Linked DNA regions of Oryctolagus cuniculus. The protein of the gene in region 4 purifies or fractionates together with the protein of the main gene of each other region. This does not show direct contact. Links are inferred from orthologs where the notes say so. Each region holds a gene or a part of one and is shown on either strand. Other genes may lie near its edges.

The links. The genes of interacting proteins can lie anywhere in the genome.
Region 1: the proteins of JUN (region 4) and cyclic AMP-dependent transcription factor ATF-7 purify together in Homo sapiens (affinity purification with mass spectrometry; 3 studies listed by BioGRID and IntAct, with this or other methods). This does not show direct contact. The link is inferred for Oryctolagus cuniculus from reciprocal best matches to the Homo sapiens genes JUN and ATF7.
Region 2: the proteins of JUN (region 4) and JDP2 purify together in Homo sapiens (co-immunoprecipitation; 3 studies listed by BioGRID and IntAct, with this or other methods). This does not show direct contact. The link is inferred for Oryctolagus cuniculus from reciprocal best matches to the Homo sapiens genes JUN and JDP2.
Region 3: the proteins of JUN (region 4) and DHX9 purify together in Homo sapiens (affinity purification with mass spectrometry; 3 studies listed by BioGRID and IntAct, with this or other methods). This does not show direct contact. The link is inferred for Oryctolagus cuniculus from reciprocal best matches to the Homo sapiens genes JUN and DHX9.

Annotation. Positions count from the first base shown.
Region 1 is NC_091442.1:56,606,484-56,614,152, reverse strand, and holds the start of cyclic AMP-dependent transcription factor ATF-7, read left to right. Parts: upstream 1-2,566; 5' UTR 2,567-2,734; exon of another isoform or gene 2,735-3,066; intron 3,067-7,669. UniProt on the Homo sapiens protein: Stress-responsive chromatin regulator that plays a role in various biological processes including innate immunological memory, adipocyte differentiation or telomerase regulation.
Region 2 is NC_091451.1:21,436,587-21,444,106, reverse strand, and holds the start of JDP2 (jun dimerization protein 2), read right to left. Parts: upstream 5,104-7,520; 5' UTR 4,951-5,103; exon of another isoform or gene 4,937-4,950; intron 4,774-4,936; exon of another isoform or gene 4,548-4,773; intron 4,450-4,547; exon of another isoform or gene 4,236-4,449; intron 1-4,235. UniProt on the Homo sapiens protein: Component of the AP-1 transcription factor that represses transactivation mediated by the Jun family of proteins.
Region 3 is NC_091444.1:1,028,898-1,036,413, forward strand, and holds the start of DHX9 (ATP-dependent RNA helicase A), read left to right. Parts: upstream 1-2,413; 5' UTR 2,414-2,563; intron 2,564-6,575; 5' UTR 6,576-6,597; coding exon 6,598-6,708; intron 6,709-7,516. UniProt on the Homo sapiens protein: Multifunctional ATP-dependent nucleic acid helicase that unwinds DNA and RNA in a 3' to 5' direction and that plays important roles in many processes, such as DNA replication, transcriptional activation, post-transcriptional RNA regulation, mRNA translation and RNA-mediated gene silencing.
Region 4 is NC_091438.1:114,257,488-114,263,917, reverse strand, and holds JUN (transcription factor Jun), read right to left. Parts: upstream 3,913-6,430; coding exon 2,899-3,912; 3' UTR 2,798-2,898; downstream 1-2,797. UniProt on the Homo sapiens protein: Transcription factor that recognizes and binds to the AP-1 consensus motif 5'-TGA[GC]TCA-3'.

The DNA.
Region 1 (7,669 bases), on a different chromosome or scaffold from region 4:
AATAAAGAGCACCAGTAAAGTTAACCATATACTTAAATACAAAGATATTTTCGTGTAATTTTGTCTATAACTGTTTTTCTCCTATCATATTTAAAAGGCAACTGTATAAAACAATCATTGTAGACCTATGTTAATAGGAATACACTGAAGAAATGTGATTCATATGATAAGAGCACAAAGGAGGATTTAGGAAAATAAAGCTGGACATCATTTGTATACTGTTAAAACTAAGCTGTTATTAACCCACAATAGAGTACTATAAATTAAGAATTTATTGCAATCTCAAAAGAATTAAAATAGCACACTAGAAATATTTATTTAACATAAATAGACAACAGTAATGGTGGAAGGGGGAAAAGGTATACAGAGAATAAATATCAAACGGCAGGTATAAATACTAGCTTATCAGTAATTAGACTAAGTGAAAATGGGGCCGGCGCTGTGGCATAGCAGGTAAAGCTGCTGCCTGCAGTGCTGACATCTCATATGGGCGCCAGCTCAAATCCCAGCTGCTCCACTTCCGTTCCAGATCTCTGCTATTGCCTGGGAAAGCAGAATATGGCCCAGGTGCTTGGGGCCCTGCACCCACGTGGGCGACCTGGAAGAAACTCCTGGCTCCTGGCTTCAGATTAGCCCAGCTCCAACCGTGCAGCCATCTGGGGAGTGAACCAGCAGATGGACAATCTCTCTCTATCTCTGCCTCTCTGTAACTCTGCCTTTCAAATAAATAAATAAATCTTAAAAAAAAAATCCACAACAGGCACATCCACAGAGACAGACCCTCATGATTGCCAGAGGTTGGTGCAGGCTAAATCATGAGCAGCTGGCAGTGAGCACGGGTTTCTTTTTGGGTGATGAGAACAGTCTGGGATTAGAGAGTGGTAACCGTTGTGTAACTTTGTGAATATATAAAAATCACTGAGCTATGCACTATTAAAAGGTGAGTTTTAGGATCTGTGAGTTATATCTCCATTCTAAAGATGTAAATTAAATAATGGGTGAAGCCAGGAGCTCAGAACTCCAACAGGGTCTCCCTTGTGAGTGGCAGGGGCCCCAGTCCTCGGGCCATCTTCCACTGTTTTCCCAGGTACATTGGTAGGGAGCTGGATTGGAAGTGGAGCAGCTGGGGCGCAAACGGGCACTCAGCCCCTATCACTGTATTCTTTTAAGTAGGAATTGTTTCAGGGGAGAGTAGATGGGAAAGAACCTGAGAGATTCTATGCCTCTCTCTCACTTTTGTTCTCTAGGGAAAAACCACTAGCATCCCGGAGGGTGCAGTGAAGACCTGGAAGATCCCAGGTGGGGAGCTCAGAAAGCCAAACACAGATTCCATAAGCAATATTGCAAGCCTACTCTCCTTATTAATTTGAACATTTTTAAGTTTTTAGTTGTGGTTAAAACACACATAACATAAAGCTTATCATTTTAACCACACAATAAGATTTTGACTGTCACCTCTGCATTTGATGTTTTCCCCCCAAATCTCCCCCAGGGGCCATCTCCTCGTGGTCAACCTCATGGTTTGAACACTACTTCCTCAAAGAGGCCTTCTTTTAACAACAGGAGTAAAAAGTTTCTCTCCCACCCCAGTCACTTTGTCTTCTTCCCCCACCCCCAAGCACTCTCCACTATTTGACAATTTGGGTCTGTGGGCTTATTGATTATTTCCTCCATCCCCTACAATAAATAGCCATTCTCCCAAAGCAGGGGCCTCCCTGGTCCACCTGCTCTTCTCCACAGCCTAGAACAGTGCTTAGCACACGGTGAGCCCTATTACGTCTTGTGAAAGCACTTATTGAGTAAAAAATACATATATTACACACACATACAAACACACATCTATAGTGTTAATTCCCTAGCAGTTTCATGTATCTCCCTTGCTTACTGCAACTCTGAGTAAAATGGGATCCTAGCCCTACTGTGGAAAAAGCGTTTGGTCCAAGGCCAGGGGGCCATTACATGGCAGCGGGTGGACCGCGCAGGAGGGCTGCTTTTCCCAAAGCATTCCACTCCAGTTCCAAGACTAGGGGCATTTTAAGTGACTCTGCCCTTAAGCCTATGAGGACCCTGAAAGGCAGTAGAAACGACCAGCACATGCTTTTTTAAGTAGCCATTTCCTGGGTTGAATGAACCCTTACCTCTCCCTCCCTTCCCTCCATCCCCCACCGCACATTGAGCTGCCACAGGGTGGGCACTCTACGTGCAAACAAGAGCACACAACTACTCACCCGTTTGGGACCCTGAGTACCCGCCTCGCCTCCGCCCCAACCCTTTATACAACTTGGCCGAGGTATAACCTTGTCTCGTTTTAAAAATGTGCTCCTTTGACACATCTCATACCCCACTGTTTGCATCTCCACCACGACATGCACCTGTCAAGGCTCCCTCTCCTCCCGTTTCCTTTCTTTGCCGTCCCCCGGCCCCCCGACACACACACACACACACACACACAGCCCGGATTCCACAGCCGAACACGTGTGGCCTGTGTGTACAGAACTCGCTCAGCCGCCCTCGCCAGCCCGGCCCACAGCAAGCCCCGCCCCTCGGCCCCTCTCCAACTCAGCCCCCACAGATCTCGCCCTTCCCCACCTCCACCCCCCACTTCTCGCGAGAGGTGAGCGCGTCTGGCCGGACGGGAGGAAAGTATCTGCTCCGCTGAGGGGGGAAAGAAGGAGCTGGAGACAGATTGTGGGACCGAGCGCGGGCGGGCGGGAGGCGTCGGAGCTACCAGCGGGTGAGTCCTGTTCACGTTAGCTAGTCCATGATCTGACGGGAGTCTCCCCTTCAACTCTGGCCAGTCACGGCGTCCCGGGCCGGGGTCTCCCCTCCCAGTCTGTGTTGGACGGGGGCGCTGAGGCGGTGGCCGGGCCCTGTCTGAGGAAGAGGGTGGGGCGTAGACTAAGCGCGGCCAATAAGAGAAAGGGCAGCCACGATTGGCGGCGGTGAGCGCTAATGGGAGGTCGAGTTTACCTCGCGGAGTGACGCCCCTCTTCGCTCCCTCCTCCCGCCTCCTTCCTTTGGGGGGGAAGGCGGGGCCAGAGGCCTGAAGTGTGGGGAGAACTTGGGGTAAGTAGCCCCGGGGGGCACAGGGCGTGGCATGCAGGGGGCACTTGAATCCTGTGGGAAAGGTGTTCCAGCGGAGCCTAATGGAAGGGTCCTGGAAATGGGAGGAAGAGGAAGGGCAGCGAACCAGACCCAAGGGCTTCCCCAAGAGTGGGGTTAGAGGCTTTGGCGTTGGAAAAGGCAGAAGTAATAGCCAGGAAGTAGGAATAAGTAGGTGAGAACCAGGATCCTGATCAGGTGGAGACAGGCGCTGGATCTGACTGGAGAGATCGGGGTTAGTGATTGCAAACGAGGGTCGTAGCGTTTCTGTCGAGTTCATCAGAAGAGTGTCGGGGATGCGACGTGGGCAAGAAAGTAGGGGTTTGGAGAAAATGAAGTGAATGAGTTGAAGAAGGGGTGTGGGTGGGCTGAGCTGGCCAGGAGGCACGGCGGTGGGCAGGCTCTGAGAGCTGAGAGGAGTTGGGGGCGGTGTTTGGCTACAGCCAGGTGTCCCGGGCAGGCCGGGACCCGGGGATCTGGCCCCCCGACGGGTGCCCCGCCTGCAGGAACGCGGGCACAGCGGGAGAGGAGAGAAACGGGGCGCTTGCACCCCTCCTCCTCCTCTCCCCGCTTCCAGACTCACAAGGGGACGTGGGCTCGGGACTCAGTCCCGGGGGGGGCCTCCACGCCGCTCGGGGTTGCTTGTTGTGTTCTCGGGCTGCAGTGTTTACTCCCCGGCGCACCTCCTACCCAGACTCCCGCCTCGCTCCTTTCCTAACTTCAGCCGTTGGTTTCCCGTGAGCAGAGCTTGGTTTAGCCCTGTCACCTTACGCCTGGGTTCGTAGCTGGTGTGCAGAGTTTTCCCCGCAAGTTCTTTCAATTCCCACGCTTACATTTTTTGCAGTAGTGCAATGCCTGTAGAAGCATCAGTCCTTACAGACATTGGAAGCACAAAGACACTAAAATTAAGTTTGTTTTGTTAAAAGTATCTTCTTCATGCGTTCTTGAAGAGTTGTTAAATGGATGGCTGCAGTCCGTTTATCTGTATTTTTTTAACGGTGTAAATAAAATAGACGCGTGTTTCAGGAAAGTGGAAATTTCTCAGTTTCTTCCTTTGTGTTTAGACTCAGAAACTGAAGATATGTCATAATATGTTAGGGTGAGGGTTTGGGAAATCAAACACAATTTGTACTTAAACATGGAGAGTGCAAGGTAAGTGGAGGCTGTTGCGAAATGTACCGTGTTTGTAAGAAAAGAAGCTAAAGAAGAGTTTGGCAGCTGTGCTAAGTAGTCTTACCAGTTTGTTCTTAATTCTGTACAGAAAAAGGAAAGGCCTTTGCCCTTTGTGTATCGTTTAATAATGCACTAGACTAATAGCAGCCGATTAATTGTTTTTGCTGTGGCATAGATTTTTCTTTTGCATTCCTTCTCTACTTTTACTTCTGAGAAGTAAAATAATATCTGAAATAGCAGTAAAGGTATTATATGAAGAGAGACCAGATGATGTAGTTTTGTAATAACTTTCGATTTTCAGCAGCCAATTGAAGCTTTTGCTCCTGGTAGGAAGTTGCCCCTACAGCACATTGAGACCAATTAATTCCTGACCCCTTAGCTACTGAGTTGGGCTAGTATTTTACATTAAGAGCTTTGCTATTGAACATTCAGAACATTTTCACCATTTGCCTGACACATTAAAAAAAAAAAAATCCAATGAGAGAGCAAAGTCCCTTGCTTTTGGTCTTCCAGAGACTTTCTGATGGCTTTGACTTGGGCACTGTTAAGTGTATTAAGTACGAGATTTTGTTTTTCTCACTAATGTTGCCGTCAGGTAGAAAGCTAGAGAGAGCTGCTCATTTTTCAACTTGTGGATCGAAGTTTACGCTCTGCGATAGTGTCAGTGTTGTTAAACACCTCTGGTTTTCCTGACTTTAACACATCAACGCCTACCATTTCCATGTCTCACTCTCTTTCCTCGCTTCTAACCCAAAATGAAAATTATTTTTTCAACCAACTCTTAACGCTACTACTTTGCCTCAATGTGCAGTCCACGACTCTGGTCAACCACAGCTGCTCTGAAATCCTCGCAAGTTGTTGCTTTCTGCGGGTCAAGACTGAGCTTCCCCCAGGCTGCAGTGGGAGGGAGTCGTGTTCCACGGCGGCGGGCATCCCTGTCCGATATGGAGGAGCCGCCTCCTTCAAGGAAGTCTTAGGTGGGGCAAATGGCTCTGCCATGCAAATGACGGAGAGCGCTCTCCTTGCACTGTTGGGCAGGCTGGCCTGTAGCTGCCCATGTCTCTTGACAAAGGTACTGCAGATGCAGATGTTGTTTCTTTGAGGGAAAATCAAATGCAGCATTCATTAAAAAAGAAAAAAAATGTTAATTTTGTTGTTGTTGGTTTCTCTGAAAATGGGTCTATGACTTTGGAGTTCATGAAAAGTCTTCTGTCTCTTTAAAAACATGTCATAGAAAACAATTGTAAGATTCTCTGATGTGCACTCATTTTTAAATGTTCTCTTCCGAGGCTGGTGTTGTGGCATACCAGGTTAAGCCGCTGCCTGTGACACTGGCATCCCATATGGGTGCCAGTTTGAGTCCTGGCTGCTCTACTTCTGGTTCCAGTCCCTGCTAATGCCTGGGAAAGCAGCACAAGATGGCCTAGGTCCCTTGGCCCCTGCACCCACCTGGGGGACCTGGAAGAAGCTCCTAGTTCCTGGCTCTGGCCTAATTTGCCCTGGTCATTGCCACCAGCTGTGGAGTAAATAAATGGATGGAAGATTCCCTCTCTCTGTTTTTCCCTCTCTCTGTAACTCTTTTAAATAAATAAATAAACCTTAAAAAATAAAAATAAATGTTGCCCTTTGCCAAGAGGCTTCTTTGGGATCACATATATTCAGGGTATATGAAAACATCATATTTAGAACTCCAGATTGATGACCTTTTTTTTTTTTTTTTAAAAAAAAAAAAGATTTATTTATTTATTTGAAAGGCAAAGTTACAGAGAGGCAGAGGGAGAGAGAGAGAGAGAGAAAGAAAGATCTTCCACCCACTGGTTCACGCCCCAAATGGCCAAAATGACTGGAACTGAGCCAATCTGAAGCTAGGAGCCAGGAATTTATTCAGGTCTCCCACATGGGTGCAGAGGCCCAAGCACTTGGGCCATCTTCTGCTGCTTTCCTAGGTTCATTAGTAGGGAGCTGGATGGGAACTGGAGCAGCCAGGGCTCAAACCGGTGCTCATATGGGATGCCGGCACTGCAGGTGGAGGCTTTACCTGCTACACCACAGAGCCAGTCCTGATCATTGGGCTTTTAACTTCTGAATGCTCTAAGGAAAGGTCCCCATTCGCAGATACCATGTTTCATTGTTAGAGCGCTACATTTTTATTTATTTAATTTTTAAAAATTTTTATTTATTTGACAGATAGAGTTAGACAGTGAGAGACAGAGAGAAAGGTCTTCCTTCCATTGGTTCACCCCCCAAATGGCTGCTAGGGCCAGAGCTATGCTGGTCAGAAGCCAGGAGCCAGGTGCTTCCTCCTGTTCTCCCACATGGGTGCAGGCACCCAAGCACTTGGGCCATCCTCCACTGCCTTCCCAGGCCACAACAGAGAGCTGGACTGGAAGAGGAGCAGCCGGGACTAGAACCGGCGCCCATATGGGATGCCGGCACCCCAGGTGGAAGATTAACCAAGTGAGCCACGGCACCAGCCCGATTTATTTTTAAATACTTTTCTTTGTTTTATTTGAAAGTCAGAGTTCCACAGAGAGAGAGAGTGATCTTCCATCCACTGGTTCACCTCCCAGATATCCTCAGTGGCCAGCCCTGGGCCAGGCCAAAGCCAGGAGCTTCATATGGGTCTCACATGTGGGTGGCAAACACTTAGGCCATCTTTCGCTGCTTTTCTCAGACCATTAGCAAGGAGCTGGATTTGAAGTGGAGCAACCAGGATATAAACATCCCATATGGGATGCCGGCATCACAGGTGGCAGCTTTCTTGCTGCGCCACAATGCTGCGGCCCCTACATTTTTATTCTTAAATGTTTATTTTGAAAGGCAGAGTGACAGAGAGAGAGAGGGAGCTCCACCTACTCTTTTACTTCCCAAATGCCCACGATAGCTGGAACCTGGCCAGTCAAAGCCATGAGTCCAGAATTCAATCCACATCTCTCATGTGGGTAACAGGGGCCCAAACACTTGAGCCATCATCTGCTGCTTCCCAGTATGCATTAGCCAGAAGCTGGATCAGAAGTGGAGTAGCTGGGCCTTGAACCAGGCACTCTGATATGGGATCTGGGCATTCCAAACAACAGCTATACCCCAGTATCATAACTTCCATCCCAGGGGGGCTCTACTTTTAGAACATTCTTTACATTGTGCAGAAGCTCTTTAGTTCTGTCATCTAAAGCCACAGTAAATAAACCCGATTCCTTGTCTACACGCAGACTTCGCATGTTTGATGATATATATGCCCCATTAAACCACTAAGTCCTGGGGTCAGTGTCTGGCCACAGTAGGTGAAACCACTGCTTGCAGTGCCAGCTTCCCATTTTAGAGTGCCGGTTCAAGGCCCGGCTACTCTACTTCCAATCCAAATTCTTGCTAATGTGCCTGGGAGGGCAGCAGGATA
Region 2 (7,520 bases), on a different chromosome or scaffold from region 4:
TGTCCCTGGGCTTTTCTGCTCTTATTTACTCTATGTAAAGCTGTAAAAAGCCTTAAACCCTTTTTTGTTGCTTGGAAAGAGCTATCTTTATTACAAAGGGCCCATTACTGGGCTGGTGTCAAGGTGCAGCAGGTTAAGTCACAGCCTGTGACACCAGCATCCTGTATGATCCTGGGTTCAAGTCCCGGCTCCTCCACTTCCAAGCCAGCTCTCTGCTAATGCACCTGGGTAAAGCAGCAGAAGATGACCCGAGTGCTTGGGCCCCTGCTACCTGGGAAGACTCAGAGGGAGTTCCAGGCTCCTGGCTCAGTCCTGGCCATTATGGCCATTTGGGGAAGATCTCTTTCTCTGTGTGTCTCTCCCTCTCTCTGTAACTCTCAATTTCAAATAAATCTTAAAAAAAAAAAAAAAGAAATTGCCCAATATTCAGTATTTTTTTCCAGAGAGGCAAAAACAGGTTTTTTTTTTTTTTTAAAAAAAAAAAAGGTCAAAAGAAATAGGATCTGCATCTCGAACTTCCTGTCCGTAGAAACGAAGGCTTAAGGGAGGCGCTCTGAGAAGAGCTGCCCTCCAGGGAAGCAGCTGGCCTGGGCTGGCATCGGGAGCCCGGAACGGGGGTGTGCTAAGGCTCAGGGTGGAGGTGAGGGCAGGTTGGAGTTGACAAGAGCAAGCCCCAGTAGCAAGAACTGGGGTCAGAAGTCAAGGGCACGGAGCCAGGAACTGAGCATCAGCACCAAGGAGGGCTGAGAAACAGCGGGGGAGGACCTCCAGGAGGCAAGCGGCTGCAGGGGCAGGAGTCCACGGAGTGAGCAGAAAGGTGGCAGGCCAGTGGCCACAGGGTATGGGACCCGTCACCGCGAGGCTTGCAGAATGAACAGCAGACCTCTGGCTGGCGCTAAGGAGTCATCTGGGACTGCCTCTCTGCTGGGAGGTCAGTGATGCAGGTCCACCAGCTTTCCAAGCACAAGGAGATCAGGCGGCAAGGAGCAAAGGGGCAGGGGGAGCTGCAAGCCGCAGAATGAGGACCAGGCCCCTGCAGGTGCTGGCCCAGCTCTGCAGGCGGGGCACCTGGGGAGGCTTCAGAGCCAGACCCCAGCCATGTGGCCCGGGGCAAGTTCCCTAACCTCTCTGCACCTCCCTATTCTCAGCTCTAAGGCGAGAACAGTGTTACTTGCCCGCTAAGGCTGCCAAGAGATTCAATTAGCTAAGACTTGGAAAGTACCTGGAATTGCACCTGCACACAACCAGGAAGACTCGGCGGCGATCCCTTAGAGGTCCCTTCCGGACTGCTCCCCCTGACAGTGGTCTCCCCTCCTTACAGCCACCTAGAGGATTTCCCCAGAGGATTCCCTGCTCGCCCACTTCCCAGTGGTACACCCCGAGTGGGCAGGGCCATCCTGAATCCTGGCAGTGAACTACACAGCTGCAACCAGAGATGCCAGGCCAAGGGCTAGCGACACAGGTGCAGAAATGAGGCCGGGCACCTGCCCTCTGTCCTCAGAGATCCCTCTGAGGTCTTCTCCACCCTGCAAGCCGGGACACGGCTGCACAGATCACTGGCCATGAGGTACAGCCACCAGGTGGCCCTCAAGAGTGGGGGCCGGCACTGCTGTGCCACTCGGAGGGGCTGCTCCTCTGGGGTTCCCCTAAGCATTTGGTGACGGGTAGCCAGTGCCAGGAGGAGCCACCGCATGATTCCTGCATAGCCAGTCGGGCCTTAGAAGAACTGGGAACCTTGCCCTAGGGGATGCCTGTTCTTCCCTGGAGACTGGAAAAATGCTTCCAACAAGCCTGCCTGGGAAGCCAGCTTTGTCCTCTTCCTAACATAGCTGGCCAGCGACTGCACGTGAGATCCTCCCTCCTGGGAGTCCACACCTCCAGGGAAGACATTGGCACCGGCCCAGCTGTCGCCCCTCTGCCAAGCTTGTCAGCTCTGTTCTCAGTGGCAGGGTTCATAACACAACGCACAACACAGACACACACGTGCTGTGTGATAATTGCTTTGGTCCTTTAAAAAAAAAAAAAAAAAAGTGCCACTGGCCAGCTCCTGCTTTGGAAATCAGCACCACAGCCGAATCCCACGGGCTACAGCCAGAAACTAGACCAAAAAGGAGAGGTGGGGAGGAACGGGGGAGAGAAAAGCCAAGGACGGTGGGCTCCGCTCAGGCCTCCCACAGCCAGCCCCACGTGTAAAGAAACCCAGGCCGAAAATTCCAAGCGTGGGTTGCTAAGGCATTTGTCTCTGCTGAGTTTTGAGAGGGCCAAACCACACACACGCACAAGAGTGCACGCGCGCACGCACACACATGCACACAGGCACACGGAGCTTGGCAGCCCCAACGTTCCAGAGCTGGTAACACAAGCCACGGGACCGCCTGCCAAGACAAGCAGGAGAATGAGCCAGTTCCAGTTTCATTGGCCACCATACGCTGCATATGGCCCAGGACGCAGCCAAAAGAGTGTTCTCACCCTCCTAAGGCATAGGAGACCCTCTGTTTTCAAACACACCTCCACAGAGCCTTAATTAAAGGAAAATGGAAAAATAATGTGCCTGCTTCTCCCCCCCACCCGCCTATATAGGTATGTGCACCTATACCCAGACACACTCACTCTATTTTTCTCTTCCGCCCATTTCGCTTTCAAACATAATTCATTCGCATGGAAAAAAAGCAAACTACATCCTGTAGCAGAGAAGAATGTAGCCTGCCCTCAGCCCTGGCTCTGACTGCTCAAGTAGAGCTGGGGTTGAATGAACGCAGAGCAGGCCAGCCCAGAGTCTGCACCAGCCCCTTCCTTCCCAGCGTGGAGCTGGAAGTGGAGGCACTCGAAAGAGAAAGCCAGTCCATTGCAACACCAGGGGCGGCTCAACAAGCAAGGCCCGAGGGCCTGGCCCTGCCAAGGCTTTCTGCAGGTTGGAAAAGATGCCCACACAGCCCGGGAACAGGTTGGGGAGACAGGAGGTGTGTGCCCTGGGGGTTGCCAAAGCTAAGTAGCGGTTGAGTAGGGGGGAGACCCTTACCCAGCCCTCCCTAGAGGTCATTGTCACCACATAGGGACACATTGCCCAGGATGGGGTTTCAGCTAACTCAGGAGAGAAGCTAAAGGCCTCCACACGCACACCTTGCTGCAGCCCTCAAATAGCTCAGCAACCAGCTCTTGGGGGAAGGTTCTGGAGCTGCCTGCCGCGCTGGAGCCGAGAAAGAGGAGCAGGGACAGAAGAGGTTCTCTCAGGGCCCACCCTGCCTGTCCTCAGCTAAGCCGAACCCCAGCAGCCCAGAGGCATGAGAATGGACCTTGCTTCTCTCTCTCCTCGCCCCACACCCCCAACCTCGGGTTCATATAAAAGTGGAGCCACCTCACACCTAATGCGTGGTTACACTCTCCCCTAGAAACCTGCAAAGGGAGATAAGCCATCGAACTCTCCCTGCAGCCAGATTTGCTGGAAACGCAAAGCAATGGGAGGTTTCTTTAGAAAACCCACAGGGAAGGGAGGCTGGCGGGGGAGGGCAGAGGACTGGTTAACACAGAGCCTCAAAGGACAAGCAGGCACCCAACACCGCGCCAAGCTTCAGTTTCTCAGGCTTCTCAAACTCCCAGCCAGGGTGAGTGCATCAGGATTTAAACCTGGGTACACACACCCACACTCTGCTTGCCCTCTCCACACAGACTGGAGTCCTGCCGCCCTGCGCAGGAGCTGTCAGGCCACAGCCCCAGGCCCTGGGGGCCACACGGGAGGGGAGGGGGCCTCAGCCAGCAGGGGCCAGGCAATCCTGCTACTACACCAAGGGGTCCCCGCGACTTCTTCCTGCAGCCTCTCCACCCTTCCATCACTGCATCCCCGCGTGTAGCTGCCGCTCCTCCCACTGCCCCAAGCCAATCCTGGCTCTGCCAGCCCCGGGGTCCAGGGATACGGGGCAGAAGGCCCAGAGCCCCCGGGCCCCTTTGAGAATTCCAAGCATCTCCGGAGGGGCTGCCTTGCCTCCTTATGTAACCTGGCCGGGAGACGCGGAACCCCCAAAGCCGACCCAGGCCATCCCTAGGACCCTTCCCAGCCCAGAACCATGCAGCGGAGTATCCGAGAAAAGCCCCCTGCATCGGATGCAGACCCCTCGCCCTCCTCCACACCCTCCCCCGGGTCCTCCGGGAGCCGTGCTTCCTCCCGGCCGGCAGGTCCCTGTCATCCTCCCCCGCCCCGCCCCCGGCTCCCGGACAGGGGCCGTTGTCTCCCCACTCACCCCGCCTTCCCCGCCACCGCCGCCGCCGCTGGAGGAGAGCGCCTCCCAGCAATCGGACGGAGGAGGAGAGCGCGCGAGGGAGGAGGCAGCGGACGGAGCCTCCCGTCCCGGGGCCGGAACCAAGGGAAGCCACCGGCTCCCGGACGCCCCGCGCCTCGAAAGCTCGCGGTCCCGGGGAGCCTCCCGCGGGCCGCGGGTGCCGGGGGACTCTGCGCGCTCCGCCCGCGCGAGGGCGGCCGTCCCAGGTGCCCGCGGCCGGCGCGCCCCGCCCCACCCGCGCGGCCGGCGCCCCGCGCGCGCCCTCGCACCCACCGTGCAGAAGCCGCGGGCGGAGGCGGCGCCGGGGCCGGGGCCCGGCTGCAGGCGCCCTGCACACTCCGCGCCGCTGCCGCCGGGCCGCGGAGCTCCGCCCGGTGCCCAGGCCCGTCCCGGCCCGGGAGCCGCCGCGGCGCCAGCCCCGCCGCCGCTGCAGCGTCCGCCGCCGCCAGCGCCCCCCGTCGCGGCCGCCGAGCGTCCCTCCCGCAGGCAGTGGCGGGCGGCGGGACGGGTTGCATCAGCCCCGGCTATATAGCGGCCCCAGGGCGGCGGGGAGGGGTCGGGAATGCGGAACCGGCCGAGCTGCCAGCTCCAGACGTCAGAGGGGGACGGAGAGGAAGGGAAGGAGGGGACAGGGGAGGAGGAGGGGGTGTGGATCCGGCGCTTCACACCCACTGACCTTCACCGCCCCCGCCGCCTCGGGCGCCCTCCTCCCGCGGCTGCTCGCGCTGCTCTGCCCGCAGGGGCGACCCGGGCCCCGCGGCGCCTGCCCGGGCTCCATCGCGTGTCCCCGCGCTCCCAGCCCGCGGCTCCGGGACGCGCGCGGAGCGAGCAGGACGCGGCGAGCGGTTATGTAAGCGCATCCCCAGCGCACGGCCGCCCCGCGACGCCCAAGCCGCCGCCTGGGAGAGCGCGAAGAGAGGGCCGGGCTCAGAGCCCGGGCAGGCATCGCCGGGGGAGGTGGGGGGGTGGGGTGGGAGGACGGGGGGGGGGGGGCGGGCGTCGGGGCACGGCCTTCTGGGTCCTCAGCCTTTTCCCGGACCTAGATGGTGTCAGCACGATTCCGAGCTTGGACGCCTGGGAAGCGAAGGGGAGAGGAGGTGGCCTCACAAGCGGGCATGCAGAAAGATGGGCCCAGGATGATGGTGCCTGGGGGAACCTGTACCCCTGCCCACCGGGCGCCCACCCAAGGCTGCAGCCTGACAGCTCCACCGCCCCGCGCCCGGCTTGTTTGATCCCTGGGCTTTTTGTCTTGCTCCCGCAGGCTGTGCCTTTTCCCCTCCGGAGCTGACCCAGCCCTCAGCAGCCCGGCAGTGGCCCTGTGCCATCCTCCTCCAGAGGTAGATGGGCAAGGGGACGCTAGAAGGAATGGTGCTGGGTGGTGCCCTCCAGTCCTTAAAGGCCCAGAACCCTGGGGGCAGAAGCGTGGCTCCTGAGACCTTGGCACCATTCTCGATGCCTGCCACCTTCCAGGCCCCTCTGGGTGCCCAGCCAACCCCCTACCTCTCTGCCCAAGACTTGGATACCCGGTGACCTCTAGCCTCCTTCTCAGGGTGATGCCAGGTCATTTCCCACAGAAGAAAGGAAGTGAAAGGAAAAGGTCAAGCCTTCTTGGAGGGCAGACGCTAAGAATGAAAGGAACAACAGGACTGGAGACAGGTGGGAGCCACAGAACACTCAAGCCAGTCTGCCTGCCATGTGGTTGTAGTCCCCCTGCCACTCCTGGGCAGTGGAATCTTTCCAGATCAGAGCACTGGTCCCGTGGGAGGAAAGGCAGACCAGGTCCCCATGGCCATTGCCGGCCTGGCCAGTCTTCCCCTTGGCCATCAGCAGCCTCCCTTGGGACATGAATGCGAGCCAGTAAGGAGGGGGCCAGGCCCTAGAAGAATAGGCTTGGAGAACACATCATCATTGATAGTCCTGTGGGAGAACAGGACTCAACCCCACGGCACCTTCGCTGCAGCATCAGCATCAGCATCAAAGCCGGGGACCGGGAAGCTGCCTTAGGATGCTTCTCCCAGGAGACCGAGGTTTGGACGTTTATGTGGAAGCCGACACTGAAACTTTATGTGTCGTGAAACTTTATGTGTCGTCGGCTGGGACTTTGAACAAACGAAGCTGATCTATGCGCAGGGACCAGAAATGAGCGTGTGTGGTTGGAGCAGGTGCTCTCCAGGGCCTGCTTTGGACCGTGGTGGGGCCTCCCCCCACAAATATTTAAATAAGCTACAGGGGTGGTACTTGGGGGTGACTGGGCGGTCTTGGGCCCGCTCCATCTCCCTCTAATAGCCACTAGTTCTCTCCTGTTATTTGATACGGGCGTTTTTCCATTTTATATAGGATGCTGTGCAAACACAGCTTCAAGACCTCCCTCCAGCCCCACCGCCCCCTCCCAGGGAAGTGACTGGAGGGAGGATTGTAAACCGACGGTGGCCTGCTTCTCCTGCTGGTCCTTATGTGGAGCTGGTCTACACCCCTGGCTCCCAGGGGCAAATGACTCAGCTGAAAGCAGTCTGAATTTAGGTTTCCTCTCAGTCGCAGCTAGAAGAGTCCTCGTAAGACACTGGCCCCGGCCAGGAGGCAGCCTTAGAGGTTGTTGCATATTCCAGGTGAATCGGAAGAGATGGGGACTGTGCAGAGGAGACGCTGCTGGAAGCCAGCACACGCTAGGGGTCGGCTGAGGGTGACACAGTGCAGAGCGGAGAAGAGGGGAGTCGTCCCCAAGGCGCGGGCAGGTGGCGTTCTCAGGACGCTGAGATCCTGTGTCCAGGCCCGGCTGACACCTTCCCTGCCTCTGGAGGTCTCTGTTACAGGAATCAGCAAACTGTACCTTACTGAACTTGGGCCTCCGAGTCCTTGCAAGTAGAAAAATCCTGACGAGGCCACTGGCTTTCGCACGTCTGGTGCATTTGGACGTTGATGACAACTAAGCTCTTTGCAAAGGGAAGAAGTGAAATGGTGAAGTAAAACAATCCCTCAGACCTGTTCCTCCAGTATCAAAGCAGGAAGTGATGGTTCTGGTAGTCTGCCAAACAGCTAGTCTTCATGCAAATATTACTGAACATCTCGTCTGTGCCTGCAAGGTACACAGAGTGGAAGGCATGATTCCTGGGAGCCTAGCAATTAAGTCGCTCCTGTCCCAGATGGGAGCACCTGGGTTTGATTTCCAGCTCCAGCTCCAGCTCCTGACTCCGCTGTCCTGCTACAGCAGACCCTGGGAGGTAGCAAGTAAATAGTTCAAGTTAATCA
Region 3 (7,516 bases), on a different chromosome or scaffold from region 4:
CCGCCGGCACTGCAGGTGGCATTCAGCCCACGAACAACGTTTAAACAAACAGTGCTCGCTGAAGAACCCCAGGGACTGACGGCAGGGAAGCGACTGGAGTCACAAGGCCCGTCTGGAACTAGACCCACCTCCCGTGAATTGCTAGATCTTGGCTCAAAGATTCTAGCAGCAAACTTTTCCCAGCATGCCTTGGAAGTCTGCCTGTCACCGAGCCCCTGCTGTTGCCTACCTCCCCACCCCGCCCCACCCAATAGTCCTTTAAAAATGCTCTTTCCTAGCAAGGGGGGGAAGAACTGGGACTAGATGTCTGCTTCCCCCGGTCCGGTGGCCTCCTGGGTAACCCTGTCTCCCTACTTCAACTCTTGCCTCGGATGCATTGGCCATTTAGTGCTAAGAAGGCTTACTAATTCTTCAGTATTGTTTATGGGGGTGGGTAGGGGCCCCCAAATTATGTTGCAGAGGTCAAGAACCCTGGCCGGGCTCAGAGAGACCACCGGCTGGATTCAGAATACAACTGGAGATGCAGAGGTGAGCGGGAGAGCAGGGTTTGTTGAAAGGCAAAGGGACAGAACACACGTGGTATGGGTGACATCCAGCTGGACCGTCCTGTTTATCGGGTCAGGAGGTGCTCAGCACAGGGTGACCTCCGGGCATTTGGGGCATGATGGGGGGGTGGCTCAGCTGCCTGAGGAGGAGTGGCTGTGCCGGTCTCAGGGGGCGGTGGGACTGGGGCAGGGCACATGGCGTGGGGGTGGGCAGTCCTTAGCTCCTTGTCCCTCACTGACTCCCTGCCTAGCCCCGAGCTCCCGCCTGTGCTGAGCAACCGTGTGTTCAGACCGTCCGACTCACAGAGGCGCTCAGTGCCCGGGGCTCATCTCCGCAGCCTCCGGGTGCGCCACCTGCACAGCCCAAAGCGTGGAGCAGCAAGAGCTCCGGTCTGTCCCTGAGGGCACCTCCGCTCCGGCAGCACAGATGCACGGGGAAGACTGCCCGGCCGAGCCAGGCAGGGAAGCAGGCGGATGCCCCCGTCTCTGTCTCCCAGCCCGTCCATGCCAATCCAGCACGCCCGCCTCCCTAGGGCGCACCTGGTCTCCCACACTACACAGGAGACGCCGTGAGGTCAGGTGCCTGTGGGGATGGGGAAGGGGGAAGTGTCTTCAAGCTCGGTGTCTCCCCCAAAGCTGTCTTTAGCAAGACAGAAGTGCCGATCTCAACCTTGTTTCTAGAAGTTACTATGCCACCCTTCAGATGGCACTGTTGCACAGCCCCCAGAGGGCTGACCTTTGATGGCCCGTCCCCAGCTGCGCTCCGCCAGTTTCCCGCATCTGCCTCTCTCAGGTCCCTCCTGGCTTTGCTCACCGCCTCGCCCTGCGTGGGGTGGCACCGAGGTCGCCTGTCTTCGCCTGCCTCACCTGTGGGACCCGGCGGCCCTCCCCTTGCCCTCTGTGGACACCCAGTCCCGGGCAGCTTCTCTCCTATGGGGTGACTGCACGACGCATTCTCATTCTCCCACTAAGTGCAGCCTGCTCTTGGTCTTAGCCTCTGCTTTGAATTACCGCAGGAGGCTGGGGGTGGAGACCGGGACTTAGAATGAAAACGGGGACACAGTTCTGTACGGCCATAAGAAGTAAAGCCGCCGCCTGCAGTGCCGGCATCCCACAGGGGCGCCGGTTCCAGTCCCGGCTGCTCCACTTCCCATCCAGCTCTCTGCTATGGCCTGGGAAGGCAGTGGAAGATGGCCCAAGTCCTTGGGCCCCTGCACCTGCGTGGGAGACCCGGATGGAGCTCCTGGTTCCTGGCTTCTTATCGGCGCAGCTCCGGCCGTTGCGGCCATCTGGGGAGTGAACCATGGGATGGAAGACCTCTCTGTGTCTCTAACTCTGCCTGTCAAATCTTTTTTTTTTTTTTTTTTTTTGACAGGCAGAGTTAGAGAGAGAGAGAGAGAGACTAGAACCCGGGGTGCCGGCGCCGCAGGCGGATTAGCCTAGTGAGCCACGGCGCCGGCCATCAAATAAATCTTAAAAAAAAAAAAAACCCACACAACAAAAACCGATTTGCACGTGGGTATACGGGAGCAAGACGGGCGGGACCCCGAGGCCGACGGGCTGGGCGGGCTGAGGGGAAGGCGCGGGCGGGGGCGGCAGGGAGGAGACGGGAGCGGCAGCGCGGTGCACGGCCGGCTCGCTCCGGCGGAAGCAGGTTTCCCACAGAAATGCAAATTTCCTTCACAAAGGGACAGCCGGTCAGCCCAGCCCCGTCCGCGGTTTCTCGGAACCTGACAAAGAGCTACACCGCGGGCCGCCCCTCTGGGAGCCCGCGCGACCGGAAGGCCCCCGCCGCCGGGGCGGGGCGTCACCGGAAGAGGCGGGGCCGCGGTCTCCTGGGCGACGGCGCAGCGGCGCGGCCCTGCCCGGGGGGGGGCACGCTTCAGCGCGCCGTCTACGCATGCGCCCGGTGGTCCCGCCCCTCGTGCCGCCGTCGGCCATTTCGCTGCTGTTTCCTCAGTGCAGCCTGGGCGTGAGGGCGTGCGTCCGGCCACTGTGCGGAGCGGCGAGCGGTCCCGGTGAGGGAGCGGGTCCCGGGAGGGAGCGGGCGCTCGTCCGGCCTCCGTGAGGGGCGGGAAGCGGGCCCCGCGAGGGAGCGGGCGTGTGAGGGGCGGGCGCCCGGGCTCCGTGTGGGGCGGCGAGCCGGCGGGTGAGAGCGGGCGTCAGGCATCTGTGCGGGGCGGGGAGCCGGCGGGTGAGGGGCGGGGAGCGGGCGTGTGAGGGGCGGGCGTCAGGCCTCCGTGCGGGGCGGGGAGCGGGCGGGTGAGAGCGGGCGTCAGGCCTCCGTGCGGGGCGGGGAGCGGGCGGGTGAGGGGCGGGGAGCGGGCGAGTGAGGGGCGGGCGTCAGGCCTCCGTGCGGGGCGGGGAGCGGGCGAGTGAGGGGCGGGCGTCAGGCCTCCGTGCGGGGCGGGGAGCGGGCGAGTGAGGGGCGGGCGTCAGGCCTCCGTGCGGGGCGGGGAGCGGGCGGGTGAGGGCGGGCGTCAGGCCTCCGTGCGGGGCGGGTGAGGGCGGGCGTCAGGCCTCCGTGCGGGGCGGGGAGCGGGCCCTGCGAGGGAGCGGGCGGGTGAGGGGCGGGCGTCAGGCCTCCGTGCGGGGCGGGGAGCGGGCCCTGCGAGGGAGCGGGCGGGTGAGGGGCGGGCGGGTGAGGGGCGGGGAGCCGGCGGGTGAGAGCCGGCGTCAGGCCTCCGTGCGGGGCGGGGAGCGGGCCCTGCGAGGGAGCGGGCGGGTGAGGGGCGGGCGTCAGGCCTCCGTGCGGGGCGGGGAGCGGGCGGGTGAGGGCGGGCGTCAGGCCTCCGTGCGGGGCGGGGAGCGGGCCCTTGTGAGGGAGCGGGCGATCATCCGGCCTCGGTGCGGGGCCGGGAGCGGGCGGGTGAGGGCGGGCGTCAGGCACCCAGGCCTCCGTGCGGGGCGGGGAGCGGGCCCTTGTGAGGGAGCGGGCGATCATCCGGCCTCGGTGCGGGGCTGGGAGCGGGCCGGTGGATGAGGGGCCCTGCCTCGGCCCGGGGCCTGCCGCCCCCTCCCCGCCCCCTCCTGTCCCCGGACTGCCCTCGCCCGCTCCCACGCGGGAGGGGTCGCCGGCCTGCTGCACTGGGTCCCGTCCCTGGCCCCTGTCCTTACCTCTCAGGGGAAGTGAGGGCGACAGAGCGGCTGGCCCGCGGGTGGGGGCGTCTGGGGGCCAGTGAGGAGGATTGAGGAGTCCGTGGCCACACAGGCGGATCTGCAGCAGCACTGCCAGTTAGGAGTCTTAACTGTTAGGGGGGTGGGGGGTCGGGGACTTCCAACCTGAGTAAGTTGGCCAGGAGCCCAGCAGGTGCGGGAGAGGGAGTGCCCCGTTCTGCCTGGGCTGCGTGTTACGGTGCAGACGGCTGTGAGCCTGCCGCGGACCAGCCAGCTTGGGAAGCTTCAGTAGAAAGGTCCCAAGTGTTTGTTATGTATGTGCGGTATGATTGTTTCAGAGTTAAATGACTGTGGAGGAAGAGAGGAATTTGATATTGCAATTCTTCAAAGTTCATGTTACCCTGAGAACTTGTTTTTTAAATGAATTATTCAGGGGTGGAATTTCCAGAGCTTCCCGTGGCTCTTCTGTTAATGGGCTGTTCCTTCAGGTGACCCAGCAGGGCTAGACTTGGCCACCGAGTAAGCCTAGCGGGTTTATGCAGGGAGCAGGCGCGTGGTACGGACTTGAGTACTGACCGAGGGCTCTGGACGTGAACAGAAGACGAGACTGACTGCTGGTAACAGATCTCCTCCCAGGAAACCGCACTTTCTCTGGCTTGAACGTGGTCTCCAGCATCTTGCTTGTTGCCTAGACTCCTTGTAAACGCATAGGCTCCAGCAGGGAAGTGCGAAGCATGTGCTGCACCTGAGGGAGATGTCTCTCAGACCGGAAGGAATAAGAGGTCCTGAAGCAGATACTGGGTGCAGATATTACCTTCACAGCGCCAAGAAAGGAGTGCTTACTGTGTCTGCTAGCACTCAGAATCAGAATGAGAATAAATCATGGGGCTTATGCACGATGTGATGTACCCTTTCTTAATCTAGAAGTTGGGTTTGAATTCAGATTCCCATTATGAGTGGCTTGGAACAGTTCTGTAAAGTGCAGTAATAGGATCTATCCTGTTGTGAAAAGAAAATGAGTTACTACACATGAGGTACCAATTGTAGGAGATTATATAAACTATTTGTTAAACATTCATAGTCCCCAAAGGCTAGGCACTATTTCTTTCCAGTTTTGATTTTTTTTATAGATTTAATTATTATCATGGCTTGACACTAGATTTTGGCAGTGCCTTGTATTTTTTTTTTTTTTTAATTTTTTACAGATAGAGTTAGGCAGTGAGAGAGAGAGAGAAAAGTCTTCCTTCTGTTGGTTCACTCCCCAAATGGCCGCAACAGCCGGAGCTACGCCAATCCAAAGCCAGGAGCCAGGTGCTTCCTCCTGGTCTCCCACACGGATGCAGGGGCCCAAGCACTTGGGCCATCCTCCACTGCCCTCTTGGGCCACAACAGAGAGCTGGACTGGAAGAGGAGCAACTGGGACTAGAACCCAGCGCCCATATGAGATGCCGGCGCCGCAGGTGGAGGATTAACCAAGTGAGCCACGGCGCCAGCCCTCCAGTTTTGATTTTTATATATATTTGTATGTAGTTCAAAATATACAATGTCAAAATATACAATGTTGTATCCTTATGTCAGAAGCTTTCTGCTTACGTCATTAAAATTTCTTCCTGGGCAATTTTTTAAAAAGATTTATTTATTTGAAAGAGAGGAATCTTCCAACCACAGGTTCACTCCGGACAGTTGAAATGGTGATGGCTGCAGTGGCCATTGCTTGGCCAGGCCAAAGGCAGGAATTTTTTTTTTTTTTTAAGATTTTATTTATTTATTTGAGAGGTAGAGTTAACAGACTGAGAGGGAGAGATAGAGAAAGGTCTTCCTTCCACTGATTTACTCCCCAAATGACCGCAACGGCTGGAGCTGCACTAATTCGAAGCCAGGATCCAGGAGTTTCCTCCAGGTCTCCCAGGTGGATGCAGGGCCCCAAGGACTTGGGCCATCTTTTCCTCCTTTCCCAGGCCATAGCAGGGAGCTGGATCAGAAGAGGAGCAGCCAGGACTGGAACTGGTGTCCATATGGGATGCCAGCCCTGCAGGCGGAGAATTAACGCACTGTGCTGCAGTGCCTGCCCCTAAAGGCAGGAGCTTCATGCAGGTCTCCCACATAGCTGCAGGGGCCCAAACATTTGGACCATCTCTGCTTTTCCTAAGCCATTAGCAGGGATCTGGAAATGGAGCAACTGTGACACAAACTGGTGCCCATACGGAATGCTGGCGTCACAGGCGGCGGCTTTACTGCTATGCCACAACACCATTGTAAATCAGGATATTTTCTTGGGTGTGTTAATATTCTCAAGTCTTTTATCTTGACAGTTGATAGTCATTTGAAATTTGTATTATTTTCATGTTTTCTCACTGAACTTCAGGGAGAAAATGTGTTCTGGTTTTCAGTGGAAAACTGTTAAAGGATTCCAGAAATAATGAAATTAAAATTGACTAAGTTAGCTGTATTAACTAAATCATTTGCCATCAGGTAATTTATCTTTTGCAGTCTGAAACTGATGAGATTTTTAATAGGTTCAGAATCTGCTCAAATATAGAAGTTCAGCCAAACAGCTTCAGTAAAAGAATCTTGAAAAGTACAGAGACGACACCTATCCTTCATATCATAAAAGGAAATCTCTCCTGATTTATAGTCTAGGAAAATGCTGACCCTCCTGTGTGCTGCTACCAGCAGAAGCTGGGTTCTCCTGGGACCCAGGGCAACACATCCATTTGTGGCGCGTTGCCCAGTTGCCCAGACGCTGTCCTGGACTGAGGCCTGATTCTGCTGGTTCCTTCTTCCTAGACAATTTTAATTGCATGATAGATTATACTGTACTTAATTTGGATTCTCAGCAGTTTACAATTTTTGCAAATACTATGCTGTTTAACCAACTTTAGTGGGGTTTTTAGTTGTTTTTCGTTTTTTTAGGTTTGAAGAACACACCTGAATCATGGGGGACGTTAAAGATTTTCTGTATGCCTGGTGTGGCAAAAGGAAGATGACCCCATCCTATGAAATTAGAGCCGTTGGGAACAAAAACAGGCAGAAATTCATGTGTGAGGTACTGAAGAGTATTGTCTACTTATGAAGCTCAATTTGGGATTAAGAGCATTTTGTGTTAAGAAATGTGTATTGCACGTTGAAGAAGAGCAGTTCTTGTTTTTGTTTTTAAAGATTTATTTATGTATTTGAAAGGTATGAGAGGCGGCAAGAGAAGTCTTCCATCTAATGGTTCACTCCCCAGATGGCCGCAGTGGCCATAGCCATAGCTGGGCCACATCGAAGAAAGGAGCCAGGAGCTTCACCCAGGTCTCCCACATGGGTGCAGGAGCCCAAGCACTTGGGCCACTTTCCGCTGCTTCCCCAGTCTCATTGGCAGGGAGCTTTAGTGGAGCCAGAGCCTGTTTGGGATGCAGGTGCGGCAGGTGGTGGCTTTACCCACTACACCATGGCACCAGCCCCCAGAGTAGTTCTTTATTGTTATTTGATGGCTATTCTGTTCATCAACAATCTGGTGGTAAATTATTCTAATTGGAACCTGGAGTTTTCTCAGTACCAGTAGGATGAGTGCAGAAGCTGGATCAGTTTGCAGTTCTACTTCTTTAGAAAGTGGAACCCTTGATTGCTAAGTAAACACAGATGGAGAGCTGCTGTTGGATGTTATAAAGTTGGGTTTTATTCTGGAACCTTTTATTATGTGCAAAGAGATCAGCTGTATAAGTTGATTTGGATTACTTATCATTGGACAATACAGTTCAGCCTTTTTCATAAATTTATTCCATGGAATCTCTTAGCTGTGCTAGTTCTGCTATAGTCATAGAATATGTTTCGAGAAGTCAGCTATTTGTTATTTCTTAATAACTGAATTG
Region 4 (6,430 bases):
AGATCCATTTCTGAAAGTGGGTAGGTAGTCATTCTGTTTATGGTTTGCTAACTTTTTTCGAAGCACAAGATTCTGGGAGGGCAGCATAAAAGCTAATGATCTCTCCTCCCCCAGGGCAGTGTTTGTCCTACACACACACACACACACACACACACACACAGAGTTTTGTAGGCATGTTCACTGATTCATGATCAATGTCCCAATGGACACAAAAAATTAAGAATCCATTATTAAATTATTGTATATATAATTATGTCTGATATAATAACAACTTGAGCGTTAGTGACTTCTTGTACCTCTAGCTTCATCCTCTCCAACTATTAGTGTTACCCTAGGAACAACTCATGGAAGGCCCCCTAAAAAATAAAGAGTTGAGTGTAAGTAATTAGCTGATTTTCTGCCTCCAAAATTGTGAGTGGGTGTTGGTAGATGTCTTCTGACACAATTATTTTTCCTCCCCTTTTCGTGAGAGTTTCAGGGATATACATTCAGCATGTTAGATGCAACAATCAAGACTAGGCATAGGCCTGGGACTTTTTCTTTTCTTAAACCCAAGTCTAAAGCAAACTGGGGAGTGGTGTGGCTTTTCCGTGCTGGGCTGCTGTCTGGGCTTAGTCTACCTTTGCAGGTAGTTAATTCCCCAGCCTGCTTATTTCTTCTAGTTGGCTCTTGTTTGGCTTCCACAGAGCCCCACCCCAAAGTGCTTTATTGTCCCTCTGCTGACTATTCCTACATATGGTCAAAATCAACTCACCTTCCGGCTTGCTGACATCGGCAAATTCACTGTTTGGCAAACCGGGCTCTGCTCCCAGTAACCCTTTGTTCAAGAAGTGTTATTACAACGGAGTGTATCTGATAGCTAACAAGCCTGTCCAATCTCTTCCACTCTGAGATACGCTCCTAAAGAGAAACTCTTTGTGTATTTGGATTTACAGCCACAGGCAGGATATTAGCACTCCCAGACCTGTTGGGTACTAGAGCACCGCTAATGAGCAAACAGCCCTGCCTCAATTAGTGGTTTGTGAAATATTCCTGGATATCAAATTGCTTTTGCTGCTTGATAATCACACTGGCTCTTGGGAAGAAAAGCAACCAAGCAAAAATTGTTCCCTTGTTGAGTAGTGCCTTGTTGATCTAAGTCTGCCCCTTCCCCAGAGCTGTTTGATCTTCCGAAGTAATCGTGTGCTGCTGCTCACGTGTTCTCTTGTGAATCTTTTCCATATTTAGATAAGCAGCTTTAAAACTGACTCTATAATAATCCTCTAGACAAGACTGATTATTTTACAAACAAGGAATCAACTACAGACAGGGATCCCAAGTGGTAAACTGCTATACTGCTAATTTCCTTGGGCAGAGGTGTTTATTTGGGGGTAGGGGGAAGGAAAGTGAGAGAGAGAGCACGCGCGCGTGCGAGCGCACATTAATGAAATTTGGAGAATGTTTCATCCACAGAACTTCTAGTTTGATTCTAAATTCTTTGCTTCTTCGTTACCAAGTAACTCCAGAATAAAGTAATGTTAACCCCAGCAACTGAAAAGAAAAAGCTCCAGTATTCAGCTTGGGGGGGGAAAAAGTAGTAATGGGAAAGGAATTCAAAATCTGTTATTGGTATTTGAATACATTTATTGTGACAAGAATCTGTTATGAATATTCATAAGCAAAGGCCATCTTTTTAAATCTTAGCATTGTTAAAGTGAAGATTCCAAATTGGAAGGATACATCTTTTCTAAGATCTGCCCCGGGTTCCTGCTTTGAGAATAAGCATGTACTGTTAAATTTCGACCAACATTACAAACGGTCCCAGCACCTGCCACTTGATGGAATCCCAAACTTTGAGGTGTCTGACTTGCCAGTGGGTTGCCCCTCTGCCCCCAAACCCCCTTTCCTCCAGTCCCCAGGACCCACCCTCTCCCACCCCCCACTACCCTCTGGTGATCAACTGGGAAGTCTGAGACCTGATGATAACACCAGGACCACTTATTTCTAAAGTTCAGTAGGGAATCCAGGAGTTTGTACTGCTTGAAAGCAATAAGTACTGAGCGATCCTGATGGACACTAAAACTCTCTTGATTGCACCCAGATTACCTAGCATCTAGAGATAATGCAGAAAAAAGGTTGGGGGGGATTACTTTTCAATATTTTATTGTATTTTCTTAAATATCCTTTCTGGAATTTTCAGAAACAAAACATAAAAAAATTATATACTTTATTACAAATGGTAAACTCAGAGTGCTCCAAATCTCTTATTTACAAACAACACTGGGCAGGACACCCAAACGAACAAACATGAAATAACTTACAAAGGCATGAAGCTGTTTATTGACAGTAATCAGCTTTCATCAAATTAAAAAATAGATATCTGTACATACACGGTTAACGAAGGCAGGCCAGAAAGAGTGTATCTGCAGGCTCAGCCTGGCCCTCCCCGGCTCCCTCCCCGCCCCCCGCCGCCCCTCCCCAGCCCTCCCGGTCGGGTTCTTAAGGAGTACTACAGAAGCGATCTACAGTCTCTATGGCAGTTTGTCACCCCGCCCCTCCCCCCCTTTAATACTGAATGAGATCGAATGTTAGGTCCATGCAGTTCTTGGTCAATGTTAAAGAAAAGTCTACCGTCGTGATGGCGCGGGGACAGCCCTTCCGCCGAGCGGGGCCGCCCGCAGGCGGCCGCTCCCTGGCTCCGCGCCAAGGGGAGCGCGCGCCAAGTCCTTCCCACTCGTGCACACTGGGGGCGCCGTCAGGACGCAACCCAGCCCGGCTTGGATACCCTTGGCCTTAGTCCTCGGACGCGTCTTTTTTATTTTTTTCTCGCTGTCGCAACCGGTCAAGTTCGCAAGACTGTCTCTCTGTTGGTTTTGTTTTCTTTTTCTTCGTCGCCCCTCAGCCCTCGACAGTCTGTCCTCAGAACGTTTGCAACTGCTGCGTTAGCATGAGTTGGCACCCGCTGTTAACGTGGTTCATGACTTTCTGTTTCAGCTGTGCCACCTGTTCCCTGAGCATGTTGGCCGTGGACGCCAGCTCCGAGTTCTGCGCTTTCAAGGTTTTCACTTTTTCCTCCAGCCGAGCGATCCTCTCCAGCTTCCTTTTCCGGCACTTGGAGGCGGCGATGCGGTTCCTCATGCGCTTCCTCTCCGCCTTGATCCGCTCCTGGGACTCCATGTCAATGGGGGACAGGGGCGGCGTCTCGCCGGGCATCTCGGGCACGGTCTGCGGCTCCTCCTTGAGCGCCTGCAGCCGCGGGTGCTGCACGGGGATCTGCTGGGGCAGGTGGTGCGGCGGCTGCGGCGGCGGCGGCGGCTGTTGCTGCTGGGGCTGCGCGGGAAAGGCCAGGCCGGCCGCGCCGTAGGAGGGCGCCCCGCCGCCGCTGCTCAGCGCGCTCGGGTTGAAGTTGCTGAGGTTGGCGTAGACAGGCGGCTCGCTGTGCAGGCCGGCGCTGAAGCCGCCGCTGCCGCCGCCGCCGCCCGCCACCGAGGCCACGGCCGGAGCCACCATGCCCGCCCCGCTGACCGGCTGCGCCGCGGACGTGACGCTGGGCAGCGTGTTCTGGCTGTGCAGCTCGGCCAGGGCGCGCACGAAGCCCTCGGCGAAGCCCTCCTGCTCGTCGGTCACGTTCTTGGGGCACAGGAACTGGGTGGGGGTCGGCGTGGTGGTGATGTGCCCGTTGCTGGACTGGATGATGAGGCGCTCCAGCTCGGGCGACGCCAGCTTGAGCAGCCCCACGTCGGGAGAGGTGAGGAGGTCCGAGTTCTTGGCGCGGAGGTGCGGCTTCAGGCTGCCCACCGGGTCGGCCAGGTTCAGGGTCATGCTCTGTTTCAGGATCTTGGGGTTACTGTAGCCGTAGGCGCCGCTCTCGGTCTGCAGGAACGAGGCGTTGAGGGCATCGTCGTAGAAGGTCGTTTCCATCTTTGCACTCATAGAACAGTCCGTCACTTCACGTGGGCTTACTTTGGGCTGCGCGCACAAGTTTCGGGGCCGCGACAGCGCGCTGGCGGGCGGGGAGCACCCCGCGCCTCCCCGGGCCTCTGGCAAAGGAAAAGTTTCGGAGCGCGCGCGCACCCGCGGGCTGTCTTCCCCCTGGGCGCCCCGCTCACCGGCCCCCGCTCCCGGGAGCGGCGGGGTTCAGACGCTCGCCCGCACTCCTCGGCCGCTCGCGCGCGCCTGCCCGCCTTTGAAAAGTCGCGGTCACTCACTGCGCGCCCTTCGGAGGCTCCCCGGCGGCGCGGCGCGGTGCCCCGCAGTGGCGGCGGGTCTCGGCCGCCCGGACTCCCGGAGACTGTGCCCTCTTCCGCTGCGAGGGGCAGGGGGCTCCCGGCGGCAGCGGCTCGCGCCGGTCAAGTTCAGAGGCCGGGGCGAGCGGAGCCGCGCGCGCGTCGCTCCTCTTCGCTCCTCTCTCCGCCGCCTTGCTTTTCTTTGCTGCCGCCGCGGCAAGCCCAAATAGCGCAGGAAAGGTTTGCAAAAGTTCGCTCCGGGACTCCGGGCCACTTGTCCCCGGTCCTCCCGGCTCGGAAAGTTCTTGGCCGCTGCAGTCGCCGCTCTCCGCGGCTGTCAGCTGCGCTCGTGCGGTGGGGCTCTCCTCCCCGGGGGCGGCTGGAGAAGCAGCAGCTCTCCAGGTGCTCCCCCCAAACACCAGCCCGGGATCCACAGGCGCTAGCGCGGGGCAGTTGGCAAAGCAACGCAGCCGTGCGGATCGCACTCTACGGGCGTCCTGGCGGGGCGGGCGGACTGTGTCTGTGTGTCTGTCTCCCTCAATCCGCGCACCTCCACTCCCGCCTCGCCGCTTCAGCCACACTCAGTGCAACTCTGAGCCCTTATCCAGCCCGAGCGCAACACTTATCTGCTACCAGTCAACCCCTAAAAATAGCCCATGATGTCACCCCAAGGCCTTCCCATTGGCTCGCGTCGCTCTCTGGGGGGCGGGCCCGCCCGTCGCCATGGAGACCCCACCCTAGAAGATTCTTCTTCGGGCCCGCGGAGGCTCACGGGATGAGGTAATGCTCCGCTGCCCTCCTACAGTTGGGCCCTTCTTTCTCCTCCTCTCCCCCTCCCCCTCCGCGCGCCTCTAGCCCCTCTCTTCCCGGTCCCCTCCCGGCCCGTCTTTCCCGGCCCGCCCGGTGCATTGTGGGCTGACGTCTTGGGGTTTGACTGTCTAGTGACGGTGGCCGCCGCGAGCGAGCGAGCGGGCGGGCGGGCGGCCGGACGCTCGCAGCCGCTGACGGAGGCGGGGGCTCAAGTTCAGGGCTCCAGACGCGGATGGCGGGTCACGGAAGGCTGAGAGCTGTGCCAGCTGCCTGGGGCCGAGTGGGCGCGGGCGTGTCCCCACTTGGCGGAGTCGAGGGGGCTCCAAGTGGCGCCCCAGCGTTTGTGCAGGGCTGGGAGGCCGAGCGCCCGGTCCGAGCCCTCCCCCCACCCCGCCCCGCACTTCCGGGGGCCGGGAGCTCCGCCCTGAAGGTGCTCCGCGGAGTGCCCCGTGGGGGCGAGCGGAAAGTGGGCTCCAGTTGGGAGGCGGTCTCGCGAGAGTCGGGTCCCCCCTCCCCCCAACACCACTACGTGGAGAACGCGCCGAAGTTTGCGGGTCAAGTTCTGGAGCGACAGTCCGCGCGGCTGTGTGGCAGTGCCCGGAGCGGACGGGTTTGCATCTCTCGACCCTGGGCGCTCGGCGGAGTCCTCGCGTGCGCGATCCTAGGGAGACGCCTGCGGGGGATGGCGACTCTGCCTCGGAGGGGGCGGCTTTTATAAGGGGTGGGAACAACTCAGCATCCTGAGGGGGACGAGCATTTAGGGGATCCCAAAGTGGGGGAACCCGGTGGTGGCCCTCCTGCCCCGGCGCGCGCGCGCACACACACACACACACACACACACATCCCGCACCCGGCGCACGCACGCAGCTCTTTGCGCCTGCACCGGCTCCCGGGGAAACAAATCCCGAGAGCCAAAAGTCCCGCAGGGAGTCCCGAGTAGAAGCGGGCTTGAGGCAGTCCCCTCCCCGCCGGCTGACCGGCCCATATCCCGCACAGCCTCTAGGAAGCGCTAGACCCATAGAAGTGGTTGCTTCGCGGCGGCCCTTTCCCTCGCCCCCGCCCCCCCACCCCTGGCGACGGCCGTGTGTGGTGGAACCCAGACCGGAGTCGGGAAGGGGCCCAGGCACGGAAGCCCTGCCGGCCCCTCAGGCCCCTTATCAGAAGGGCCGGCGGCGTCCACCGCGCGGCCGTCTGCGGGCCGGGGGAGGTGGTCGCCGGGCGGCCCCCTGCCCCGTTAGCAGATTTCGCAGGCCGGCGCTGGCTTGCCAGGATGTAAGAATGTGATCTGGCAGGACCAGGTGCACTTTCCTGAGAGGAGCTGTGGCGGGGGAGAGGCGAGGGAGGGAAGGATTAGAAGGCAGCTCTTTCTCAAGCCTCTGTCTAGCTTTGGCTTTTGAAGTGGGACCCGCAGGAGT